Coturnix japonica: one gene and its partners. The protein of the gene in region 1 purifies or fractionates together with the protein of each later gene. This does not show direct contact. Links are inferred from orthologs where the notes say so. Each region holds a gene or a part of one and is shown in the gene's direction. Other genes may lie near its edges.

Region 1 (2,033 bases):
AAGCAGCAGTACTGCTAATCAGAACAGTCAGAGCAAACCATGCTGGAATAGCACAGATTCTGCAACGGTAGTAAACAATGTTACAGAGCAGATACAAGACATGGTGATAGATCCTGTGCCCACACAAATGGAAGATGGCAGCCTCCAGTCCCAGGTACAAGAAACACTGCATTAATTTAATACGCTTGCTGAGGCCTTACTGAAAAGGAAATAATTCAGTATGTGTTGAGGGACTGATGATTCAGTTGTCAGCAGATAGAGAATATATGGCACTTTGCTTTACTGGTTTACAGCAAAGGTGGGACTTGTTGTAAATGTAATTCTTCCTATTAAAAGCAGATAGTAAGAGCATGCATCCTACCTGGAAAGCACTACGGCACCTGGACCTCCTTTCTTTCCATTTCAGGCACACAGTGAGTCAAGCAGTTCATCAGGGGGTGACGAGGACTGGACCCACTTGTCTTCCAAAGAAGTGGATCCTTCCACAGGTGAACTGCAGTCTCTACAAATGCCAGAGACAGATGATCCCAGCTCCCTAGATGTAGCTCAGGAAGCTCCCCAGGCAGGACCTACAGGGCTGAGAGAGGCTGCACTCTACCCACATCTCCCACCAGGTACGAGAATGCATGCAGGTTGCACGTGAGTTAAAGTTGCTCTCACTTATTGCCAACTTGTCCAATATAAGCAAACCTGCTTAGGAACCAAGCTCACATACAGACAAGTTAAACTGTAACTTGTGCTCTGGCAGCACTCTGCATGCTGTTAGGAACAGGCATGTTCTCTGCTTGAATGGTGGCAGCAAGTCTTAAACTGGTACTAATATGCCATTTGAGCAGGATGAGAGAGGTGGCCTCTAATCAGTGTCCTTGCTGTGTACTCTTGGAGAGCCTTTTAATGCAGGCTGTAGACAATACATCCTGTAACTTAAGACACTTTTCTGGCAAGAGCTAGTTAGGAGTCTGCCAGGTCACTTAACTGAAACCACTGGCAATGAGGTTTACAGCAAGGACAGATGGATCTAACTCAGCTGCTTCCTTAGCAGGTTACATATGCTGTATCTCAAAATGTCTGCCTCATAGGATACAGAGGAAAGTGTCTTCCAGCGCTTGTCAGCTATGCTAGATCTGCTAGGATTAGTGCCAGCCCACCATGTGATACCACAGCCTTGGCTGGTTTGCTAATAATGTGAAGCGTTTTAACTTCAAACTCATTCTCTTGACAGAAGCAGACCCTCGCTTGATTGAGTCTCTGTCCCAGATGCTCTCCATGGGCTTCTCTGACGAGGGTGGATGGCTCACTCGACTCCTGCAGACAAAGAACTGTGACATCGGGGCAGCGCTAGATGCCATCCAGTATTCCAAGCAGCCTCCTAACTTGTAGTAGCCTATGTAACAAAAACCAGTTTCCTTCTAACTAAAAGAAAACTATGTGGTACAGTTAACTCTAGCAAATGCATCTTCTGTTACAGGTTTCTGTTTCATGTTCCTAAGTGCTTGTAGTGTGGAGAAAAAAATAAATACTGCCACTCTTTCACTGGTGATGAGTTTGTGGCTGTTTAATAATCATAACTGTTCTACTCTGTTAACTGGAACTTGATTATAAGTTAGGAGAAGATCCAGGCCAAGAGCACATGATTTCTATGTCAGGTGGTTCTCAGTGTAAAAGTAAGGCTAGCTCTGTGCCAGTCTGTTTCTTGCACATAACCTGGGCTCTGAGCAGACACCTCGGGGTTATTCATTTGTGAAGAGCAATCAAATGCTTGGCTCTGAAGCCTGCACCGTAGCTTTGAAAGAAAGAGTTGCTATGGGTGATGCAAACAAAGAGCTAGAACAAGGGAAAAGAGTTGCAGTTTATAGTGGGGAATTAATCACAGAACTTAACTGTACTGGTAAGATATTCTTAAAGCCTTGGAGGCATCCCTGCTCCCTCCCATCTGACCTACTTCCATTCTTACTTCTAATGTACTTGCTAGACACCACTGTGCAAACATAGCACTTGCTTCTTGGATCAGTCTTTCCCAACAAGACACAGCT
Region 2 (4,107 bases), on another chromosome or scaffold:
GTCGCAGGCCAGGCTGTCGGGCCAGCTGTGATTGTAGCGGCGCATGATGGGCTCGCAGCCGTCGCGGGCGCGCTGGCAGACGGAGCGGCAGGGCTTGATGGGGTCGTAGAGGAACTCCAGCGTGCAGATGGGAGCGTACATGGCGCAGAGGAAGAAGGGGAGGACCGGGCTGCAGCCGGTGCCCACCAGCTCCTCGTACTGCTCGATGGCCAGCACGGCGTTCTCCTGCGTGCTGTGGTGGAGGTGGTTGGGCATACGGGTGATGTTCCAGGGCATGGGGCGGCACATGGGGATGCGCACCGCCTCGCACGGCGCGCCCTGCGCCCGCGGGCTCACCCGCAGCCACAGGGACACGGCCACCAAGGCGCGCAGCATCCTCCTCCTCCTCCTCCTCCGCCTCTTCCTCAGCCGCCTCCTCCGCCGCCGCCCCTGGGTCCGGCCGCACTCGGTGTCGGGAGCGGCGCCGACAGCCATGGAAATCGCGGGACGGCATTTATATCGGCGGCACGCGTGACGTGGGACCGAGCTGCTGCCCGGGCAGCCCCGCCGCGCCGCTGGGGGTGTGCGTGTGTGTGTGCGTGTGAGCGGCGGGCCGGCACCGTGACATCACCGCCACCGCCGTAATCCCCGCCGACATCACCGCGCCCCTCTCAGCCGTGCGACGCCTTCCTGGACGTGGAAGGGGGGGGAGCGGACCCAAACAAACGCACACGCTCCCGTCCCCTGCGGGCTGAGCCCTGCGCTCCCTTCATGCCGTCCCACAGCGGAAAGTTTCGGTGCGGACGGGAGGAGGCGAAGGGCGCGCAGGGGATCGCTCGGTGCCCGTTGTTCTCCTCAGCCACAAACCCCTCAGCAGTCGCCAACTGCGAAGGGGAACCCCTCGGTGTGTCCCTTCTCCATACGCCCCTCTCTTAGCGCATGCAGGGGAACCCTGGCCCGGCCCTGCCATGCCCCGAGCCCGGCGGGACGTTCCGCTGCCCACGTTCCCCCACGGAGTCCGGCGGGCCGGAGCGCCCCGGGGAGGGCAGTGGGAGCTTTGTGACAGCGCCTGTGGGGAAGCAGCCCGTTCTCTCCACGCAGCAACCCCCCCGTGCCCGTGTAACCCCCGCTGGCGGCACCGGGCGACATGTTGTGTGTGTGTGTGTGAGGGGATACACGGTGCCCACCGGCAGGATCCCGAGGCGACATTTTGCGTCTGTGCGGTGCAGGGCACACACGGCGCACGCAGCGCGCTGCCGGCGCAAGCCATGCGGGTTGTGCTGGGGGCGGGCCGCCCCCGCCCCTCCTTCCCTCAGCCGCCCCCTCCGTTCTGTCGGCGGTTCGCAGTGCGGCTCGGAGCATGGCGCTGCCGGCGGGCGGGCTGCCGCTGCCGCTGCTGCTGCTGGGCGGGCTGCTGCTGCTGCGCGGCGGGGCGGGGGCCGAGCCGTGCCGGGCGCCGGGGCAGTGGGAAGGGCGCAGCGTGCGCTACGAGCACGGCACGGGCCGCAACACGCGGGCCGCCGTCTCTTACGACGGCCTCAACCAGCGCCTCCGCATCTTGGAGGAGAGGAAGGCGCTCATCCCCTGCAAGAAGTAGGTGGCGGGGGAAGGGGCCGGGGTCCCACCGAGGCGAGGGAGGCGGGGCTGCGGGGGGCGGCTTGTCACGGGGGCAGGGAGGGAAGGGGCTGGCAGGAGGCGGCCGCGCTCCGTGTGTGTGTGGGTGCGTGCAGCCCCCAGTGCTGCGTCCTACTCTTAGCCGTACTGAGCGCCCCCAGCCCCAAATGCACGGTGTGATGTGAAAAATAATCTCCCGTTAGAGCTAGGAGAAATGAGCTTGAGTCACCTTCTCCCTGCTGTTCCCCATTCCTCCAAACGCGAATGCGGCACACGGTTGATCATACAGTCGGTACCTGTGCTCAGTGCTCGCACACACTGCACAGGCTGCCTGGCCCCGCAGGACCTCCCTGTTGTTAGCATTGGTTTCTTGGTTGGGTGGAAGATCAGTGCAGGAAGGAGCAGCCTGCAGGAGGGCCTGTGTCTCCTCAGCCTGGAGCCACGGAAACTGTAATCAGTCCCTGTGTGCAGGTCCCTCAGTCACCACGCAGACATGTACCAGCCCACGGGGCTGCCACACTGCCTCTCCCACCCAAAGTTATTCAGATAACTGCATCAGCTTGGGAATAAGCCAAGGTGCAAAGCAACCCAAAATTGCTGTATCATCCAACCTTGAAAAGATCACTGTTTGGTTTTGCTTCTGGCTTCTTCCTGCCTATAATCAATTCCTTACCAACATGACACATTCAGTGTTTTTCTGCTGATGTACAATGCACTCTGACACTGTCCATACTTCTGCACCCCTTCTTTCAGGAGTCTTGGGTTGACCTGCGCATTCAACAAGCATAAAGCTTCTCTGCAAAGCCTGATGCAAGTGTTTTCTAGCTTCTGAGCTGCACTGAGCTCATTTCTTTAGGCCTGTGTTTGTTTTATTTGAAGACTTCATTTGAAGATGGACTAATTATTTTACATTTTCCACTCAGGGCCAGATTTTGACCTCTGCCAAGATCCGCTGTCATTACGTTTTTGACAAATATTTGCTCTGGACTCTGTTTTGTCTGGGCTGATAGTGCTAGCACAGGGTCAGTGCAGACAGGTGTGCTGGCCACTCATTTTTGCCTGCATTGGTTTATCATTGCAGACAATCCCTGACCTCAGGCATCCCCACCATTCTGAGACCCGCTGCACTTTCTGCCATCCAAAAGCAGAGGGTGGTTTTGTTAGGAGCGTGGCTCTCGTCTGCTCAGGGTGTGACCCTGCTTCCTTCAGTCAGTGGAAAGGCTCCCATTGATTTTAGCGTGTGTTGGGTTGAATCTAGGGCTGAGAGCACAGCTTCAGTTCACATCGGACACTGTGAGTCATAAGTCAAAGCCTTCAGAAGCTAGAGTTGGGAGGATTTATCTTGCCTTTGGAGGAATAACTTCTCTCCCACTCTGCTTTGATGTTGGCAAGAAAAGGAGAATTACACTGAGGCAGTGACTACAAAAGCATCAAGAAAAATAGTGCTTTCTTTGTCCCCGGGGAAATTTCACTATGACTGCTCACAGCTACATTTACTCCTACAAGATGCAATAATCAAGACTGGCCAAAGACCAAAAATCTATGCAGTGTTTTCTGAATCTTAGAAATTTGGGCCACAATCACACACAGCTCTGTTGGAGACACCGGGGTTGATCAGGCAAACAAAGATTTGCCTCTGTCAAGTGGTTTGCAGGCTCCTAACCACCAGAAAACCTAAAAACTTCAGTTTTCCATGTAGATGTATGTTTCAAATTCATGTCATTTGCTTTGCGGCATTTTCATACCTACTTCAACCCTGTGTTCTGGTTAAACTCTTGAAATGTAACCATAAGATGAAGAGCCCATCAGTGCTTCCTTAACTTCACTTCTTTGCCCTCCAGTTGTCTCTTGAGTACCCAGCATCCCATTGCTGAGCAGATAGAGGGTGTCCTCTCTCATCTGGTCTCAGGCGGCCTGAATGGCCATTGTATGGTTGTTTCAGCTTATTGGTGTTCCTGTGGGTAGTGCTATTGACTGCGTGTGTTGCTCCTTGGAGCTTAATTAACTACCAATTATGATCTGAGGCTGAGGTTTTTGGAGAACCTGTTCCAGCAGGAATCATTACTAAACTTTCTTTTTAACTTTTTTTACAGATCCAGCCTAAACTACACCCTGCATCTCACTGTTCACCTTACACTTTCCCCAGTGTGCCTTGTCCTACTGTATCTTCCGCCTTTAGGATGAAATTTGAGGGCAAGGAGGGCATGGACAGTCTTTTTGCACTTTGTTGAGCAGCCAACTGATATTAGGAAATAAGAAAACAGAAGGAGATTTTTAATGAGTAGAAATTGCCACTTTGAAGAGGTAATGCCAACGGAGTTTTCCATTAATGTGACATGAGTGTCCTTGGAATGGTTCCCTGAAGCCCTTAGGTGGAGCTGTGTCATGGTACCTGTTGAACATACAGTGATTTTTAACTCTTTATTGTCCCCTGTTTAGAGTTATTTCCCTCTGTGTGTGAATTGCACCTTGCTCCTGTCCAGCCCTTTGTGGACCATGATCACTGAACACAGA
Region 3 (3,500 bases), on another chromosome or scaffold:
AACTTGGCCCTAGCTGGGCCTCAAAATAGAATGACCGATGCAGGAAGAACTTAATAGAGGACTTGGGAGGGATCTTGGTACAAAGCACTTTCCCCCTTGCCAGAGCTTTGACATTGTCCAGTGAGTGCAGTTGGCCAGCACAGGAATTAATATTATCTAACCTTCCAGCATTTTCCTCTTCATTATGTTATCCTGTTGGAATCTGCTGAAGTGGATCCTCTCTTGGCTGTGAGTATCTTCTTCAGAATGAAGCAGCAGTAACTCTAGATAGGCAGTAGGAAGCACAATACCAACAAATACTGCTCTATGATGAGATAAATCTTCTAAGTTTCTTTTCTGCTGTTATCTATAACGCTGGGTGGATTTGAAGGGGTGTTAAGGAAACATCTGTGGTCCCTGAAGCTCTCATTTAATTAGCATGGTACCAGGTGAGGCAGCTGGACTCATGGCTGTATGCAGGTAGTGAGCGCTACAGAAAATCCCTGTTGTAATGTGGTATTTTAGTGCCTCAGTTAGCATTTATCAGCACTGAGGGTGAAAGGCTCATACCTAATTGGTGTTCAGCTTCCTTTCTCCTGCCTGCTGACCTTGCACAGACCTGAGGAGCTGAGCTTCTCATGCCTGGCTGACGCTTCTTTTAGACAGACCTTTATGGCTGCTTTCTTACGTGGTATGTTGAGCTGAGCTACCAACAAATGCTATGTGATGTTTTTAATTTCTAGGATGGCCAGTCGTCAGCAAATGGCCCATCTCAAGATAGTCCCAGGCAGATGCCAGCACGGGAAGGAAACGTGGTGTACCCCAAGCTCCGGGCTGGCTACATCCCCATCCCAGTCATCCACGAGGGCATCGACAGCAGACAGCACCCATACTTTGCTGCTCCACAGCCCGGCGTACAGCGGTACAAAGCAGAAGCCGTGCCCACCACAGCGCAGGCACAGCCACCACTGAGGGGGGCCTATGCCAGCCCTGAGTCCCCTCATAGGGGGCCGGCTGAGGCTTCCCAGGCAGATAAACAATGTGGACAGACAACAGCAGCTGCAGCAGCCCCAGCTCCAGCGACACACGGACCTGAGGTAACTCGGCAGTACTGCTGGGGTGTGTGTGCCTTGGTCTCTGCGGCCATGTATGACCTGACTGTCACACGAGTACTTTATCCTTTGGAAAGCCAAACCTGCCACAGGATTACATTTTCCCAATACTTCCACAGTGTTGAAATACAAAAGTGCTCAGTCACTTCAGCAGAAGTGTTTCACATTTTTCCGGCATTGACAGCTTTTGTTATCAAGTGATTTGCACAGAAACAAGCCTGTGAAAATTTTCTCTATAAAAAAGCCTGTGAATGGTGCAGGTGCTCCTGCGGCAGGTGAGGGCTGTTGTAGGGTTTAGAGTGGTTACTCTGCAAGCTGGGAATGCAGGCAGATCTCTTGCATTCCCTATGTGGGAAACAGGTGAGCAAGGGGAGAGACACAAAATACAAGTGTCCCATTAGCTGACAGCTTAGGCTGTTTCAGAAACAGGGCTATTCTGCTTTCCAGTTTAATACTCTGGTTTTATTAATTGTATAGATCTGCATACACAGATTTAGAAGTGAATTCGGAAATATTTTTGTTGTTATTTTGTAGTATGTTATAATACATGAACTGCTTTAAAAAGAGTCACCCTCCTTGCTTTGCTTTTCAAAAGGCAGGATTTTGGTTTGTCTGTTATCTCCTCAGAATTAGCAGGAGCAGTATTCTTGTAATAGGCTGAAGCACTAATCTCACTTCTGTTCCAAGTAAAATAAGCAGGAAATCGAGCCTCTATCAGCATGAAAACACATGGGGAATTTTTCATGTCGGCAGTGGCAGATATTTTTCTAAAACCTGTTTTTGTGTCTGAACAAGACAATTAAAATCCTGTTCGCAGTTTTCCTCAGTTGTTGCTGCTTTATCCATGAAGTGCAAGGATGGGAGGCTTAGTTCTTCCTTCTCTCAACTTAATGCAGCTGGGAATATACTTTTGTATTACATGCAGAATTGCTTCAGAAAAGTCTTCTCCATCTCATGTGCTCTGAGATAACTGCTGAGGACTGGAGAAGCTGCCATCACAAACTTAGGTGGCATGGGCACTAACTGACCAGGGCACTGACACAGCAGTGCTGGTGCCTGTAGAAAAAGTAGCATTTATTTATAGCTGCTGAGCTGCAGAGGTGAGCATTAACTAGCACAAAAGACATCTTGTTCCCTATCCTTTCTCACCTTGCCTGCCTACTTGTTGCTTCCAGCTACATTGTCCTGCTCTCCCTCCTGTGCTAACTCCAGTCTTACCTGGCCTGTCACTGAGATATCAATAAACCTGTCAGGAAATAATTTTTCCTCTCCTTCATGGGTTAAAGTATAGAGAATAGTCCATAGTAGGTGAGTTGATGGACTGGCACAGCAGGAGTAGAGAAGGAGTGAGCTGTGAGCAAATAAACTGCCTTTCCCCAGATGCTGTGGAACCATAACCTGAAATACCAGAAGCTGAATTGTGGTGTATCCCCAGCACTTGCTCCTGCTTACAGCAAATCTACACTAGTGCAGCTATCACTCCTGGTGCCAACAGGGCTGATGTGCTGGAAGGTCTCGTGAGGGGTCAAGGGGCATTAGCCACACATAGCAGGCTTTGGCAGTGCACTAAATTACATGCTTAAAGAAGTAAATAAATCTGTTAGCATGAGTGGGATCAGAAGTCTGAACTTTGTGTGCCTCTGAGTAGTTTGTTTTTTGTCTGCAGTACATAATTTGTTTGCTTAACTTTAGTTTGCCTCACATTTAACAGGTTTAGACAGGAGTAGCCATGTAAAAACAGAAAACATTCTGAGTGAGCATCCACTCCCTGCTTACTTGAGGGCTGGGAATGCTGTAGCTCAGGTTATTACTTGTTATAATGATGCTCTCTCACAACTTCTGTGGTTTGTCTAGCAAGGCAAAAAAAAATAGAACACAAACCAACACAAACCCAAACCAAGGACGTAGATCTTTTGTATGTGGGAACACAAATTCAGTTTCCATTTCTCTTTGAAAATGAAAAGTGCTATGAGCTGAAACAGCTGATTTAATAATGGATTTTGTTTTCATGGCAGCCTCAGTCTCCTGGAGCTTCTGATTCTCAAACGGTTCCACCTCAGTCATCTGGCAGATCCAATTCAGGAAGCCATCAGCTTCCCCGTGGCTATATTTCAATTCCTGTGATCCATGAAAATATCCAAAGGCAACCACCGCAAGGCTACCATCAGGCCCAGAAGACACACTACCCTGCCCAGCAGAGTGAATTCCAAGCCCACCAACCTGTATTTCCCAGAATTCAACCAGATGACAGGGAGCCTAAGACAGCACGAGCACAGTCTCCATTCAGAGCCACTCAGAGAGGGGCATCAAGTCGTGAGAGTTCACCTGCCAGAATTATCACCCAGCAGGTACAGCCCTCGACTCCCATCACAGTACAGACGGTCGTAGACAGACCTCAGGTATGTAGAG
Region 4 (4,300 bases), on another chromosome or scaffold:
TGTAAACATTTTCCTGTCTGTTTATACTAACTAAGTGGGTTTTTTTGCTGTGTTTTCAAAAGTTGCTAAAGAACCAGGGAAGTTTGATCTGGTTTATCAGTCTGCAGATGGGGCCGAGCTGATAGAATACGCTGTGCCTCAGGACACAAAGGTACGTGCCTGCCTTGTTCTGAAGGCTGCCGCGTGGTTGTGCTGACACGTTTCCCTGCTTTACAATGCTGTCCTTTTATAATGGAGCGTTTCATTAAAGTAAATGAAAGCAAAAATAATCCTTTCTAACAAGAATGGGAATTATCATGAGATAATAAACTCTTGCGTATTATTTCAGTTAATTAGACTCAGAAAGTCACCACTTTGTGTAACTTTTTGGCTCCACGAACCTCCATGAGGTTCTGGTTTTCCTACCTGCACATCAGCAGGTTAAGGCTGATGAAGATCACTGAATTGGAGCAATGATCTGTGACCTTTGTTCTGTGCTGCTGCTGTTCACATCCAAACAACTTGTGATGCAGAAGAAATTGCACCTGCCTGTACACCTTGTACGCGCTAATGTTGGATTTTGCTTCCAGATAACTGAGAGTTGGGATTCGCTGATTGAGCCCAGATTGATCGTTGAGCCTCCAATGAATGGATCAGGCACTGAAAACGGAGCAGTCTGAGATGTGAACACGAGTAAATCCTTGTGTGGACTTGTTTCATGAGATGCTGCCGTCCAGTTCTGAGGGCAGCAAATGCGCTGCTGGTTATTTTCCATAAATGGTTTTAAAATAAACACTGTTTTCTTAAGAGATGGTTTTGTGTTAATCCAAGAATGCTTTGTTTGTTATAGATTTAATGTAGGTTTGATTTATTTTTTTTAATAGAATCTTAGTTTTTATATTCTACTTTTGTGAGTGGCAAAACTGGAATAGTTTGATAGAAAATATAAATGATGACCTTGTGCTGTGTTTGTGGCTCTGCTGCTGTGTCCTGTTTTGTCTAGAGCAGCGTAACTGCTATACAGAACTTGTTGTAAGGATCATTAAAATCCAGCATTGAAAGAAAAATATATTGACGTCCATGGTTCTTTACTGCAGAGCATGACATGAATGGCCAGACCTTACAGTTCTATACAGGGTTCACCTGAAAACATCAAGAAAAGTTTAAGGATTTTATGCTTCTGTAATTTAGAGAGGAGGATAAACAGTGTTGGTGACAGAACTCAGCCTAGAACCAGCACAATACAAACGAACCCAGACAAAACGGTGTCCCAGCGTGTTCAGCCGAGTGTGCTCTGAAACCTTTACAGCCGAACCCTTTTGCCCTTTCAGTGTTGAAGTGTCAGTGCTGCCTTTGCTCAGAACAACGCAAGAAAACCGCACACACGTACTTCGCCGGCTCGGTCCGCTCCAGCGCCCGCACGGATCGCAGCTCCCCGGGACACCGCAACCCGCGCTGCTTCCCCGCCTGCCCGTCCCGCCCCGTCCGCCGCCCCCGCTGGGCTCAACCCGGGGCGGACCCGCCGCGCCCCTCGAGGCGGGGAGATGGTTCGTAATTTTACGGAAATCCGCAGCCCCAGTTTCGTTTCCTCGGGGTCTGGAGGCAGCAGCGGGATAATGGCGTCGATGAGCAGAACTAAGTCGGAGCCGAACCTGTTGGAGCTGGAGGAGGAGCTGACGTGCTCCATCTGCCTCTGCATCTTCAACGTCCCCGTGACGGTGCCCTGCGGACACAACTTCTGCGCCTCCTGCCTGGAGCTCACCTGGGCCGGCCAGGTGCGGGACTTGAGCTGCCCTCAATGCCGCGCCACCTTCCCGAGCCGCCCGCAGCTCCGCAAGAACACGGTGCTGTGCCGGGTGGTGGAGCAGATGCGGGGCAGCGGGACCGGGGACGGCAAGGAGGACGATGAGAGCGAGGAGGAAGAACGGGAGGCGGCGACCCTCATCTACTGCGACAGCTGCCTGCAGGCGGCCGCCACGCAGACCTGCCTCACCTGCATGGCTTCCTTCTGCCCCGAGCACCTGCGGCCGCACCACGACAGCCCGGCGTTCCGCGACCATCGGCTGTGCCCGCCCGTGCGGGACCTGCAGCAGAGAAAGTGCCCGCAGCACAACAAGCTCTTTGAGTTCTTCTGCAGCCAGCACGGCTGCTGCATCTGCTCGCTGTGCCTGCTGAGCCACAAGCCGTGCCACACCAGCACGCTGCAGGAGGCCAAAGATAAAACCGAGGTGAGAACGGGGCAGCCCCGAGCTGAGCTCCCTGCAGACACTCCCTGGGGCGATCTGCCCAGATACCGGGATTAACTTAAGACAGCCCCTCTGACTTCGCTTAGCAGCATTCCTCAGATGCGATCCAATCATATCTGAGAACAAAAATCCTCTGTCACAACGAGGGGTGAACAGCAGTATTTACCCAGTGCCCGAAGTCCAGGCTAAGAGCTAAAGCAAAGTTTATTTGCAGCGCTGGGAGCTGCTCCGCTGATGAAAGAGTTCTCCTTATCAGCAGTGACTCAAGGACGCCCATCTTGCTTTTGGAAAGGTGTGGCTATGGGGGTGCTGACCCCACAAACTGTGTGCGTGCACGACAGCACTGCTAAAGGAGCAATGGGTTTTAAACGGGTGGTACTGAATGCTTACAGTGGTTATCAACAACTCCCTACTGTGATTCTTACTCCAGTAACCATGACCCGACTGACAGCATGGCAACGCCTTTTCTAAGCTGCTCTCTGCTCTCCTCTTTTGCAGGCTGCACTGAAGAAGAGGCTGGTGGAGCTGCACAACCAGAGTGAAAGATCCGTGCAAGCAATGAACTCTGTGAAAACAATCCAGAGTCAAGCTGCTGTAAGTTACAGCGCTGTTTGCTTGGTGTGTGCTGGCTCCTGAATGTTGTTTGTGCTCTTGTGGCAGTCCTTGTACTGAAACTGCCTTGTCAGGAAGAAATCTCACTGAGAAGGATCAGAAAAGAGCCGTTTTGGCAGCTCCCTAAGGATGGGAACAAACACAGCCTCCTTACAGGGGTGGTTCGCACCCACACGGGAGTAACTGAGATGAACCCATCCATTCCCACTGCAGCACAGATTGTGCATCTGTGCAGCCCAACCTAAAGCAGCAGTGAGTAGCAACGGCTGCACTACAGCAGAAATGTGGGAGAGCTCTTTTCCACAAGTGAGCACAGCTCAGCCCTGCTCTCACCTGATGGCCGGGGTTGGTGTGTGTGCTGAGAGCTTTTCTATTGCCAGTTGTGAGTAATTGGAGTTTACATGCCCACAGTAGCAGCGCTTTCCCCCTAACTTGGTTTGAAGCCAGTTTCTGCCTTTTTGTGTCTGCTCCAGGAGACAGCTGCCAGAAAGCGGGATCTGCTGAGAGCTGAGTTTATGGAAATTAAAGCTTTAATTGAAGAAAAAGAAAACCAGACCCTAAAAGTAGTTATGGAAGAAGAAAAAAGAGTTTGCAATAAGTTCGATTACATATATAAAATTCTGGGAAGTAAGAAGAATGAAATTCAGTCTCTGAGAGACCAGATTGAGATGGCACTGACCGAAGGGGATGACGTTCTCTTTTTAAAGGTAACGTGTCCTTTAGGTTCAAATCTGATTCTTTGGGGTTTTAGAATATAGATTCATAAAGAACTGCCCTGGTCGTCCTGCTTTCCAAATCCTTTTAGTCAAATGATAAAGCAGTCACATGCAAGAACCTCCTATAACAAGATGTACTGATAAATACACAAACACGAGTGAAAGAGCACTGGAACAAAGTGCTGTCTGCGATTCCACCTCTCCCCAGTTCTGCCACTATTTCTGCTGTGTGCAGAAAGGCCACTGAGGGAGAGAACTCGTCTCCATGAGGAGGAGTTACATCTCTGTGCTGCGAGGCAGAGCTTTCTTATTGCTCCAGGTATCAGGAAGTAACGCTTATGTGCTGCTGAGCTGCTGCTGAAATTGTGCCACGGCTTTGCCTGATTGTCACCTGTGCTCTTTTGCATTTGAGATAAATGCCCAAAACTCAGCCCATTTAAGGTCACCTGCTTGTATTTCTCACACAAGATGGTCTGCATGAGATTTTCCGTTTCTCATTTCAGAGAGCAGCAGCGCTGCAACGAACATCAATAAAAGAGGCCTTTGTCCCAGTAATAGAAATGGACCACAACATGATACACGCTGCTTATCAGTCTGCCATTAACCTTAAAGATGCTGTCAAACTTGCAGTGAATGCGTCTGTGGATAAAAGAACGGATGGTATTGTATCACTGTGGGAACCGGCGTTTTATGCCTCAGCTTTGAGCTCAAATGAGAGAGATTCCCCCTCCAATCCAAACATAAAAA
Region 5 (2,665 bases), on another chromosome or scaffold:
ACCAGCTCAGCTTGGATGAGAAAGATGGCTTTATCTTTGTGAATTATTCTGAAGGACAAGCAAAAATACACCCCCATGCTCAGGTTAACCACCTGCACCCCAGCTATGCTGAAGCACGGCACTACAGCAAGCTTAAACCAGGTAAAAGAAGTTGAGTACGCTTCCTTGGCTGGATAAATTTGCTGTTAGCACTGACCCAGAAGGCATTATCTCTGCAGCTTTGAGGAGTGATGGCTGATAAATTCAAAAGCCATTGGTGAGAAGCTTCTGTGTTGAGGTGTTGCACATTGTTTGAGTTTTTCCTGAGAAATGATGATGGGTTTACCCTGCTGGCAGCTAATCTGCTCGCTCACTGTTGCTGCAATGGGATGGGAGGAGAGAATAGGAAGAGCAAAAGGACAAAAGCACAAAAACTCAAAGGTCGAGCTAAGGGTAGTCTACTAAGCAAACTAAAGAGGAAGATAAAAGCTAAAAACAAGTGATGCAAAGGCTCTCACCACCTCCTGCCAGCAGACTGTTGTGCAGCCAGTTTTGGAGTGAACAGCTTCCTTAATCAGAAAGTGCCCTTCCTTCAGTTTGGTTGCTGAGTATGATGCTGTATATGACATGGAATGTACTTTGGTCAGTTGAGGTCAGCTGTCCAGATTGTGTTACTTCTGAGTTTCTTGCACACCTTCAGCCTACTTACTGGTGGGTGAGGAAGAGAATACCTGCTGATATTCAGTGCCAACTCCACTCTGTTTGTCAGTGTTCTCTGCATGTCAGATGCATTTGGTGAAATGCAGGACTCTCTGCTTTGCATTGCATTTTTTCCTTCATTGGATGCGTTGGAGAGCAGTTGAGAGTGTATTTTCCCTGAATGGGAAGTGAGTCTCTGAGAGTTATCAGCATCTGGAGAGATTAAGATGTTTCCTTTCAACAAATGGATGCACATGGGTATTTTGGGGAGGGAGGAGGATTTAGAAATGAGAATGAGCAGATTTGTTTTTTCCCTTCTCTCCTTCCTGTGCTCTTCTAGGATACCGATGGGAGCGTCAGTTGGTGTTTAGGAGCAAACTAACTATGCACACAGCATTTGATCGCAAAGATAACGCACATCCAGCAGAAATCACCGCACTCGGCATCTCCAAGTGAGTAGCTCACAGGTGATCACACAGTGCATTTTTTCAGTGTTGTCAAAGGATGCAGACACAGTTCTTCGCATAATGCTGTTTTGTGTTCGCTTTTTTTGTTTAGAGAACAGGCTGGTATCTTGGTCATAAAAACATTATTAAATATTCTGACATCTAAAATCAGCCATTGCTGTCTCTGCCTTACTGGGCCAGAATTGTCAGGAGAATGCTTTTACTTTTTTCCTACAGGGATCACAGCAGAATTCTCATTGGGGATGGCCGTGGCCGAGTGTTCAGCTGGTCTGTGAGTGATCAGCCGGGCCGGTCAGCAGCCGACCACTGGGTGAAGGACGAGGGAGGAGACAGCTGCTCAGGTTGTGCAGTCCGATTCTCGCTCACAGAGAGGCGTCACCACTGCAGGAACTGTGGGCAGCTCTTCTGTCAGAAGTAAGCTAGCACCAGCCTCCTTTACGTTCTTTCCCATAGAGAAATTCAGGCTATTGCATACCACTGATCCCTACAAACAGACTGAGATTTCCTCTCCCTTATCAAAACAGAACTGATTAAAAAAACAAAAAAAACCAACCAAACAAAAAGAAACCAAACCATCAGTGCTGTAAAAATTTCCAGGGGAGAGTTGGAAAAAGCAGACACGCTCCTTTATATAAACAGTGAAGCTGTCAGCTTAACATAGGTGTCAACTGAGGTTGAAATCAAGAAATGAATTATAGACAAATTAACATAGCAAAGGAGAATATATTTATTTTTCAGCAAGTAGTTTATCTTATCAGTCTACAAACATAACACGGTCTGTCAAAATTTGTTTGGATGGTGTTGAAGTGTTTGAAGTCACAATGATAATTTCCACATCTGGGAAGAAAATAGTGAGGCTGTGGGAGGACAAGTGTTCACGGTGGTGTTTTCCTCTTTAGGTGCAGTCGGTTTCAGTCTGAAATCAAACGTCTGAAGATTTCGTCACCGGTCAGAGTCTGCCAGAACTGTTTCTACAACTTGCAGCATGAGCGGGGCTTAGAGGAAGGGCCCAGGAATTGACAAGATGGTGGTAAATGGAGACCCTGTACAGTCCTGCTGTCACCCTGAGAACTAATGTGAGCATTGTGCTGCGATCAGAAGGGAGTAGAATACTGTCTGTTTACACTTAAGTTTATACTGCATTTTAAGCACTGAAAGAATAAGGGATCATTGAATTGATTTGTGTTGATGGAAGGTGTGTGATGAGATGAGCGGCACATTGAAGTGAAGAGCAAGGCCCAGGAAGACATGGTTAATAACTACAGATACAGTAGAACTGTCAACCCCTATCTCGCTGTTGACATGGCTATGAAGAAAACCCTCACTTATCCTAAACACCAGTTCTTGTCTTGTTTTTGTAGAGCTAGTCATCTGTACTGGGGTGGGGGGGTGGGAGGGAAGGGAAGGCTTTTTAGAAGATAGTTGTAAATCTGCCTTCTTCGCAAGCAACTGTGTATATTGTAAATAGGTATAATGGCCTTTTTATCTAAATATGAACCTAACTGCCTGTTACATGGGAC
Region 6 (3,939 bases), on another chromosome or scaffold:
TTCATAAGGCTGCCTCACATTTTGTCTCCCAGTGCTTTAGAGAGGGAGATACTACCAGCACATAACTCAACAAACTGAGCCCTAATTAGCAGACTGTAATTGGGATGCCGAGACAATAGTTTCTTTGTGCAGATGATGAGAGCAGCAATGTCTGAGCCTTTCAGGACCAATCCACCAGTATCAAGAGTGTTCAGAGGCATCAGCAAACACAGTCGCTTAGAGCTTATTTTGAGAAACTAATGACCTGTAAATCAGCTGTTCAATCACGCTTTTCTATCAATCAAACACCATAACCTGAGCACAAGCTTCAAGCAAATCCATACTCCTATCATGAACTGCCAAACTGTACTTCCAATTTCACAATTTAATTATTCCCTTAATTAATACTCAAAGCGCATACAACTCCTCTATGTAACACACACCACTTGTACTGCTCTTCTGAAGGTTGTTTACAAAGGTGCTGCTGCCCACATACTTTCCCTCAGGAAAGGGGCTGAGGTGCCGGAAGCATTGCCAGATTACAGGAAGATTGCATCAACCACAAGTGAAGCAATGCACGCTCAGGGCAGGAGAACCTCCTTATCTCACAACAGCAAACTCTCACTGCACAGCTTAGAGTGAAATTTTACTTCTACAGGCAACAAAGGTTTCTTTCAAGCAAACCCACAGACCTAACCAAGCCCATGGGGCCAAAACACTTGCAAGCACATGCCTTCCTTGGCCAAGGTTAACCTGCTCCTCCAGGCCCTCTGCATCACCTCAGCTGCCTCAGCTTCAGGAAAGGTCACAGCTCCTGCCCCAGCTTCCACTAAGAATCACTGAACTTCAAGGGTTGGAAGAGACCTCTAGAAATCATTGAGTTCAAGCCCCTCCTAAAGCAGGTTCCCTACAGCAAGCTGCACAGGAAAGCATCCAGGTGGGCTTTGAAATCTCCAGATAAGGACAACACAAGGATAACACAAGCTCTCCATGCAGACTGTGCCAAGAAGAAGCTCTTGCCAACGTTTGCACCAACTACCCAACCCTCACACGACCCTCAGCCAGCAGCTATTGGACTCTCGTGTTGTCAATCACTGAAAAAGAGCTGGCCTCCAGCGTGCGGGCCCTCGAGGGAGCCCCCTAATGGCGGCAGCGCTGCTCCCTCCTCACCTCCCTCCCACCCGCGGGGTTTGGCCGTAGCCGTGCACCCGGAGCGCGGGGAGGGGCGGCCCGAAATAGCCGGGTGAGGCCGGGTGACGCCGAGCGGCGGGACGGGCCCGCGTCGTTGGCTCTCCGTCCCCACGGGCCGCGTCTGATGGGGTGAGGAGCCCGTCGCGGGGGGACGACGACGCGGCCATGGCCAGCGGCTGCCCCTGGGAACGAGCGGCGGCGGCCGGAGAGGAGGAGGCGCTGAGGAAGCTGCTCGTCCGGCTCCGCAACGTCCAGGAGAGGAAGCGGCCGGAGACTGTGGTGCAGACGCTGAGCGACATGCTGGAGTTGGCGGCCCGGCAGAGCGGTAAGGGGCGGCCGCCGCCCGCCTGCCCTCCCGACCCCGCTCCGCCCGGCCCTAACGCGGCTTCTCCGTGTCCCCGTAGCTCCGCGGCTGTTCGGAGGCTGCAACGCCCACGTGCCCCTGCTGCTGGTGCTCGACCTGTACGCGGGAGCGGCCGGCGTGCAGCAGGTAACGGAGCGAGGAGCGCTGTGAGGGCGGCGGGGTCTGCAGGGTCTGCGGGCGCTTCACGGGCTGATCGTGGAGACGTTGAATGGATTGGGTTGGAAAGGACCTCAAAGCCTCCAGCCCCACTCATTGCCGTGGGCTGGCTGCCCCCCACCAGCTCAGGCTGCCCAGGGCCCCATCCAACCCGGCCTTGAGCACCCACAGCTCTATGGGCAGCTGTGCCAGGGCCTCACAGCCCTCTGAGTAAAGCATTTCTTCCTAACATCTAATTTACATCTCCCCTCATTTGATTTAAAGCCACCTTCTCCTTGTCCCTCCTGTAGAAAGTTGTTCCTCTTCTTGTTGATAAGCTCCCATTAAGTACTGGAAGGTCACAGTGAGGTGTCCCCCAGAGCCATCTCCAGGTTGAACAGCCCCAGCTCCCCCAGCCAGTCCACAGGAGAGGTGTTGCAGCCATCTGATCAGCTTCTGCTTCTGCTTGGCTGCCCCTACAAATGGTGTCCCATGTAAACAAGGGGTGCCACTTGACCATCTTGGTGCTGCTGCTGGGCCCACCCCATGAAGTGTAGGCATGTATTGAGCTCCTGACTGTACTGTGCCCAGAGAGCATTTACAGACTCCAGATGTGTGCAACTCACTCTCTTTGTGTATTAAATACATTGGTATGGTTACAAGATTTCTGGCATCCTTTACTTGTTCCCAGTCCACAAAACAAATCATGCTGCATATGCCTCTTAAATAATACTGTTGTGTAAGTTGTTGGGTTTTTTTTTTTAACTTCATAGACTTTAGCTAGTGATCAGAGCATAAAATTCAGATTAAAATATGAAAGGTTCTCTGTCAGGTTGCTGGGAAATAAAGAAGGATAAAGCAGTAATATTACTTTGTTTTTCAGGATGAAGCATATTAGATATGTCACAATTTACAAAACCGCTGCTGAGGAGTTCAGGCAAGGAAGTGAAAAGCATGAGATTGAAGCACAGCCAGGAGCAGATCTGAGAGGGTGGCATGAGGCTCTTAAGAATTCCATTAGAAAGATCATTTAGTTCTCATTTTAATAGTGGTATAAATCTCAACTTTGATTTGGTGCAGAGCTTTAAAATGACTTCTTTGCATTACTCCATTGTACTAAGGCATCAAAACAAAGCTCAGAGGCAGCGCAGAGCTCCAATCTGCACAAAATGCCATGGGCAGCTCTTTCTTCATGTTCTATTATAGTATTTGCAAACACCCACAGTGTCTCAGCAGGGCTGCTTTCCTTGCTGCACCCATTGCAACCTTTGTGAATACAAAATCTTATGGCAGCAGCAAGAGGACGTGGCCCCAATTTCGTTGTAGTCTCTTCATACTGCTAATGAGTTTTCATTGAATAAATTGATTGACCCTTTTGGCATTGCGATAAAAGTGACTCACATAACAGAGTAAGCACAGTGAGAGCTGTATCTGAAATGAGGATTTTCTTTGCCATCCCATACTCACCAATTGCAAAGCACTGTGTGCTGTTGCTGTTCCACCAGCTTGTACAGAGTCAATTTGCTTAACAGCTCAATATTTCAGGTGTCAGTGCAAGTCAGGCTATGGGCATAAGCCTTACTGCTCCTTTATAAGTAGAAAGAGACTGAGCTATAAGGTCAATACCACCATGAAGTAAAATAGACATCTTTTAAGTGAACGTGGCAGCTTCTTTATGCAATTCCTGGTTGACGCTGACTGGAGTGGGTTAGAAACTGTGGAGCGGAATTTGTACACACTTGAGGAAAGAGCAGCCAGCAGAGCTTTATTGTGTCACACAGAAGGGTGTGAGCTAATGTCATATCAATTCATTGCATGCTAGAAATGAAAAGGACTCAATTTAAAAATAACAAGAGTTTCAGTGCTGCTATCAGCTGTCTGTGTCTTAAAAGCTCAGATGCTTTTAAGAATATCTTTGTGTTCTGTGCTTTTTTCTGTCCCCTGTAACCTTTAGTGTTTCTGTTATTTAAAAAATCTCTGCTTGCTTATGGAACTGTAAATTGATAATGAGCTCTTTGTTATCTCAGACTGTGATTTTAATATTGTAAAACTGACCACATATCATTGGGTCACATGTTTGCTTCTGACTTCCCTGACTACACAGTCCTTACGAATGTTTGGCACACTTGGAGTCACAATAATGCAAGTAAAAGCGATCAATAGAAACATCAATATTACAGTCCATTTTAGTACAAAAGTTACTTCTGTAAAGTCACTGTGCTAATTTTCATTGGGTTCTAAGTTTAGCAGTTCCTATGGCAGAAAGTGGT
Region 7 (2,477 bases), on another chromosome or scaffold:
TTGTCCTGGAGATCAACAACATCTCATCTAGCCTGAACCACAAGGACCTCACATGCCGGGCAGAGAATGCAGCGGGGCTGGCAGAGGACAGCGTGATACTGAATGTCACCTGTAAGCAACCCAGGGGATGGGGAGAGAGAGGGAGGATTGGGGGGCCAGGGGTGGTATGAGGGTCAGCTTTGGGGGTCCCACATTTGGGGACGCATGTTTGGGGACACAGGCAGCTCTGTCCCCACAGTCCCACCGGTGATTCTGCTCCTGCACGAGGCCATCGCTCAGCACTTCTGGTGCATCCCCTTCTCAGTGGACAGCAACCCAGCACCCAGCATCTTTTGGCTCTTCAATGGCACGTTTCTGCTTGAGGGGCCCTACATCCATACGCGGATTGTGGAGTATGAGCCCAACTCCACCACGCTGCACGGCTGCCTCCAGCTCAACCGCCCCACACATGTCAACAACGGCAACTACACCCTCGTGGTGCAGAACCCCCTGGGCAGAGCCACCCGCAGCATCCAGGGCCGCTTCATGGATAACCCCTTCAGCTTCAGCCCTGAGGAGCCCATCCCCGGTGGGTCACAGTGGGGCTGAAGGAGATGTGCTGCCCTAATCCTGACACAGGAGGCACCGAAACTTCTATTCCCACCTTGCCAAGGGGTTCTGTCCCCCTCCCGTGCCTCAGTTTCCCCAAGGATTGGGAAGGAAACATGGGACTCTCTTATGGGGGGGAGGTGGTTAATGTGTGCTCTTTCCTTTTTCCATGCTGCACAGTGTCTATATCTCCACTGGGTGAGTGCTGGGGCATGCTGCTACCCCTGCTATTAACCCCCAGCTGTGGTGATGCCCAATGATGAGGCTGCAGTGATTGTGCAGGAGTGAGGATGTGCCCCCACTTCACGCTCACCCTGTGCCCTCTCCCCACACAGGTACCAGGAACAGCTCTTTGGAGGGCCCTATGGAGACAGCGGATGAGCACACATTTGGGGTGAGGACTTGACTGGGATGGGGTGCCCTGTGATTTGGGGTAAGGGGCATGAGGACACCTGTGGGAAAGCAAAGCAGTCCTTAAAGTGAAAGCAAACCAGAGGCAAGGCAAGGTGGGATGGGATGGGGTATAGGCAGCCTCCTGCCCTCCGCTGTGCCTCAGTTTCCCCAGTAGAATTGCAATCACCTCCAGGGCTTGGAGAAGGGTGCTGTCCTTGGCTTTGCAGCAGGACCCCAGCCCCATACTCACCATTCCCTTTGTCCCCAGGTCTCCGTGGCTGTGGCTTTGGCTGTTTTTGCCTCCCTCTTCCTCTCTGTCATGCTCATTGCGCTCAACAAGTGCGGGCGTCGCTCCAAGTTCGGCATTAACCGTGAGTCCCCTCTTCCTGCACCGGGTAGGGGCACAGCCATGGGGCAATGGTCCTCATGGGTCCCCATTGCCTGGCACCCCCTTGGGCACTGGGTGGCAATGGGGCTCCTCCGGGGCCAAGCAGTGCGGGCAGCAGCTGCTAATTCACTCCTGGAATGGATTCAGCCTGCAAATGGGTTTGATCGCACTGACTTCCCCTGGGGCTGGAGGGGGGGGGGATGCTCGGCAGCACCTGGCACTGCTGCACAAAGCACCCCTCACCCCTCTGTGATGGCCCTATTCATGTGCCCCTGTCCCTGCAGGCTCAGCCGTGCTGGCCCAGGAGGATGACCTGGCCATGTCATTGCACTTCATGAACCTGGGCAGCAGCCCCGTGTCCTCCACAGAGAGCAAGCTGGACGGGCTGAAAAGCAACTTCATTGAGAACCCACAGTACTTCTGCAATGCCTGTAAGGCTGGGGATGCATCTGCCTCAGCATCCCCCACTGCTCCCCATTGTCCTCCTGCGGTGGGGGCTCTGGGCTGATGGATGTGGGTCCCCCAGGTGTGCACCACGTACAGCGCCGTGACATTGTGCTCAAGTGGGAGCTGGGCGAGGGAGCCTTTGGGAAAGTCTTTCTGGCTGAGTGTTCCCACCTCCTTCCAGAGCAGGAGAAGACATTGGTGGCTGTGAAGGTGAAGGGGTTGGGGGGGATGAGGGTCCTGGGCTGGTCAGTGCCATGTTAACGCCTTGTGCCTGCAGGCGTTAAAGGAGGTGACCGAGAGCGCACGGCTGGACTTCCAGCGGGAGGCAGAGCTGCTGACCAACCTGCAGCATGAGCACATCGTCAAGTTCTATGGTGTGTGTGGCGAGGGTGACCCACTCATCATGGTCTTTGAGTACATGAAGCATGGAGACCTCAACCACTTCCTCAGGTGGGTCCGGCCCCTCGCCCCCTCCCCTCTCCATCAACGCGGCTCAGACAGCCGCTCTGCGCTCGCTGCTAATGCAGCCCTCCTTGCAATATTGATTAGATTAGCTGTCTGAGAGGCTTAAATAGAGAGAGATTGGCCATCAGCTGGAATAAGCAGAGACTTTTCGATTGGCCCCCCAGGTATTGCTGATAGACGGGGGGGCTGCCAGAGG

Evidence for each region.
Region 2: the proteins of SQSTM1 (region 1) and EPDR1 purify together in Homo sapiens (affinity purification with mass spectrometry; 3 studies listed by BioGRID and IntAct, with this or other methods). This does not show direct contact. The link is inferred for Coturnix japonica from reciprocal best matches to the Homo sapiens genes SQSTM1 and EPDR1.
Region 3: the proteins of SQSTM1 (region 1) and BAG3 purify together in Homo sapiens (affinity purification with western blotting; 3 studies listed by BioGRID and IntAct, with this or other methods). This does not show direct contact. The link is inferred for Coturnix japonica from reciprocal best matches to the Homo sapiens genes SQSTM1 and BAG3.
Region 4: the proteins of SQSTM1 (region 1) and TRIM25 purify together in Homo sapiens (affinity purification with mass spectrometry; 3 studies listed by BioGRID, with this or other methods). This does not show direct contact. The link is inferred for Coturnix japonica from reciprocal best matches to the Homo sapiens genes SQSTM1 and TRIM25.
Region 5: the proteins of SQSTM1 (region 1) and WDFY3 purify together in Homo sapiens (affinity purification with western blotting; 4 studies listed by BioGRID and IntAct, with this or other methods). This does not show direct contact. The link is inferred for Coturnix japonica from reciprocal best matches to the Homo sapiens genes SQSTM1 and WDFY3.
Region 6: the proteins of SQSTM1 (region 1) and LRRK2 purify together in Homo sapiens (affinity purification with western blotting; 3 studies listed by BioGRID and IntAct, with this or other methods). This does not show direct contact. The link is inferred for Coturnix japonica from reciprocal best matches to the Homo sapiens genes SQSTM1 and LRRK2.
Region 7: the proteins of SQSTM1 (region 1) and NTRK1 purify together in Homo sapiens (affinity purification with western blotting; 6 studies listed by BioGRID and IntAct, with this or other methods). This does not show direct contact. The link is inferred for Coturnix japonica from reciprocal best matches to the Homo sapiens genes SQSTM1 and NTRK1.

The regions. Positions count from the first base shown.
Region 1 is NC_029528.1:4,620,861-4,622,893, forward strand, and holds the end of SQSTM1 (sequestosome-1), read left to right. Parts: coding exon 1-154; intron 155-406; coding exon 407-614; intron 615-1,222; coding exon 1,223-1,380; 3' UTR 1,381-1,533; downstream 1,534-2,033. UniProt on the Homo sapiens protein: Molecular adapter required for selective macroautophagy (aggrephagy) by acting as a bridge between polyubiquitinated proteins and autophagosomes.
Region 2 is NC_029517.1:42,215,026-42,219,132, reverse strand, and holds the start of EPDR1 (mammalian ependymin-related protein 1), read left to right. Parts: upstream 1-1,307; 5' UTR 1,308-1,339; coding exon 1,340-1,572; intron 1,573-4,107. Other genes in the region: SFRP4 (secreted frizzled-related protein 4), read right to left, coding at 1-474. UniProt on the Homo sapiens protein: Binds anionic lipids and gangliosides at acidic pH.
Region 3 is NC_029521.1:27,000,255-27,003,754, forward strand, and holds part of BAG3 (BAG family molecular chaperone regulator 3), read left to right. Parts: intron 1-722; coding exon 723-1,076; intron 1,077-3,106; coding exon 3,107-3,490; intron 3,491-3,500. UniProt on the Homo sapiens protein: Co-chaperone and adapter protein that connects different classes of molecular chaperones including heat shock proteins 70 (HSP70s), e.g. HSPA1A/HSP70 or HSPA8/HSC70, and small heat shock proteins (sHSPs), e.g. HSPB8.
Region 4 is NC_029533.1:7,752,743-7,757,042, forward strand, and holds the start of TRIM25 (E3 ubiquitin/ISG15 ligase TRIM25), read left to right. Parts: upstream 1-1,500; 5' UTR 1,501-1,523; coding exon 1,524-2,207; exon of another isoform or gene 2,208-2,723; coding exon 2,724-2,819; exon of another isoform or gene 2,820-3,310; coding exon 3,311-3,544; exon of another isoform or gene 3,545-4,056; coding exon 4,057-4,213; exon of another isoform or gene 4,214-4,300. Other genes in the region: COIL (coilin), read left to right, coding at 63-151, 570-659.
Region 5 is NC_029519.1:41,833,713-41,836,377, forward strand, and holds the end of WDFY3 (WD repeat and FYVE domain-containing protein 3), read left to right. Parts: coding exon 1-141; intron 142-1,018; coding exon 1,019-1,130; intron 1,131-1,361; coding exon 1,362-1,559; intron 1,560-2,044; coding exon 2,045-2,165; downstream 2,166-2,665. UniProt on the Homo sapiens protein: Required for selective macroautophagy (aggrephagy). Acts as an adapter protein by linking specific proteins destined for degradation to the core autophagic machinery members, such as the ATG5-ATG12-ATG16L E3-like ligase, SQSTM1 and LC3.
Region 6 is NC_029516.1:13,510,102-13,514,040, reverse strand, and holds the start of LRRK2 (leucine-rich repeat serine/threonine-protein kinase 2), read left to right. Parts: upstream 1-1,139; 5' UTR 1,140-1,335; coding exon 1,336-1,495; intron 1,496-1,574; coding exon 1,575-1,660; intron 1,661-2,552; exon of another isoform or gene 2,553-3,939. UniProt on the Homo sapiens protein: Serine/threonine-protein kinase which phosphorylates a broad range of proteins involved in multiple processes such as neuronal plasticity, innate immunity, autophagy, and vesicle trafficking.
Region 7 is NC_029540.1:688,349-690,825, forward strand, and holds part of NTRK1 (high affinity nerve growth factor receptor), read left to right. Parts: coding exon 1-111; intron 112-238; coding exon 239-568; intron 569-923; coding exon 924-982; intron 983-1,249; coding exon 1,250-1,352; intron 1,353-1,653; coding exon 1,654-1,800; intron 1,801-1,895; coding exon 1,896-2,026; intron 2,027-2,093; coding exon 2,094-2,266; intron 2,267-2,477. UniProt on the Homo sapiens protein: Receptor tyrosine kinase involved in the development and the maturation of the central and peripheral nervous systems through regulation of proliferation, differentiation and survival of sympathetic and nervous neurons.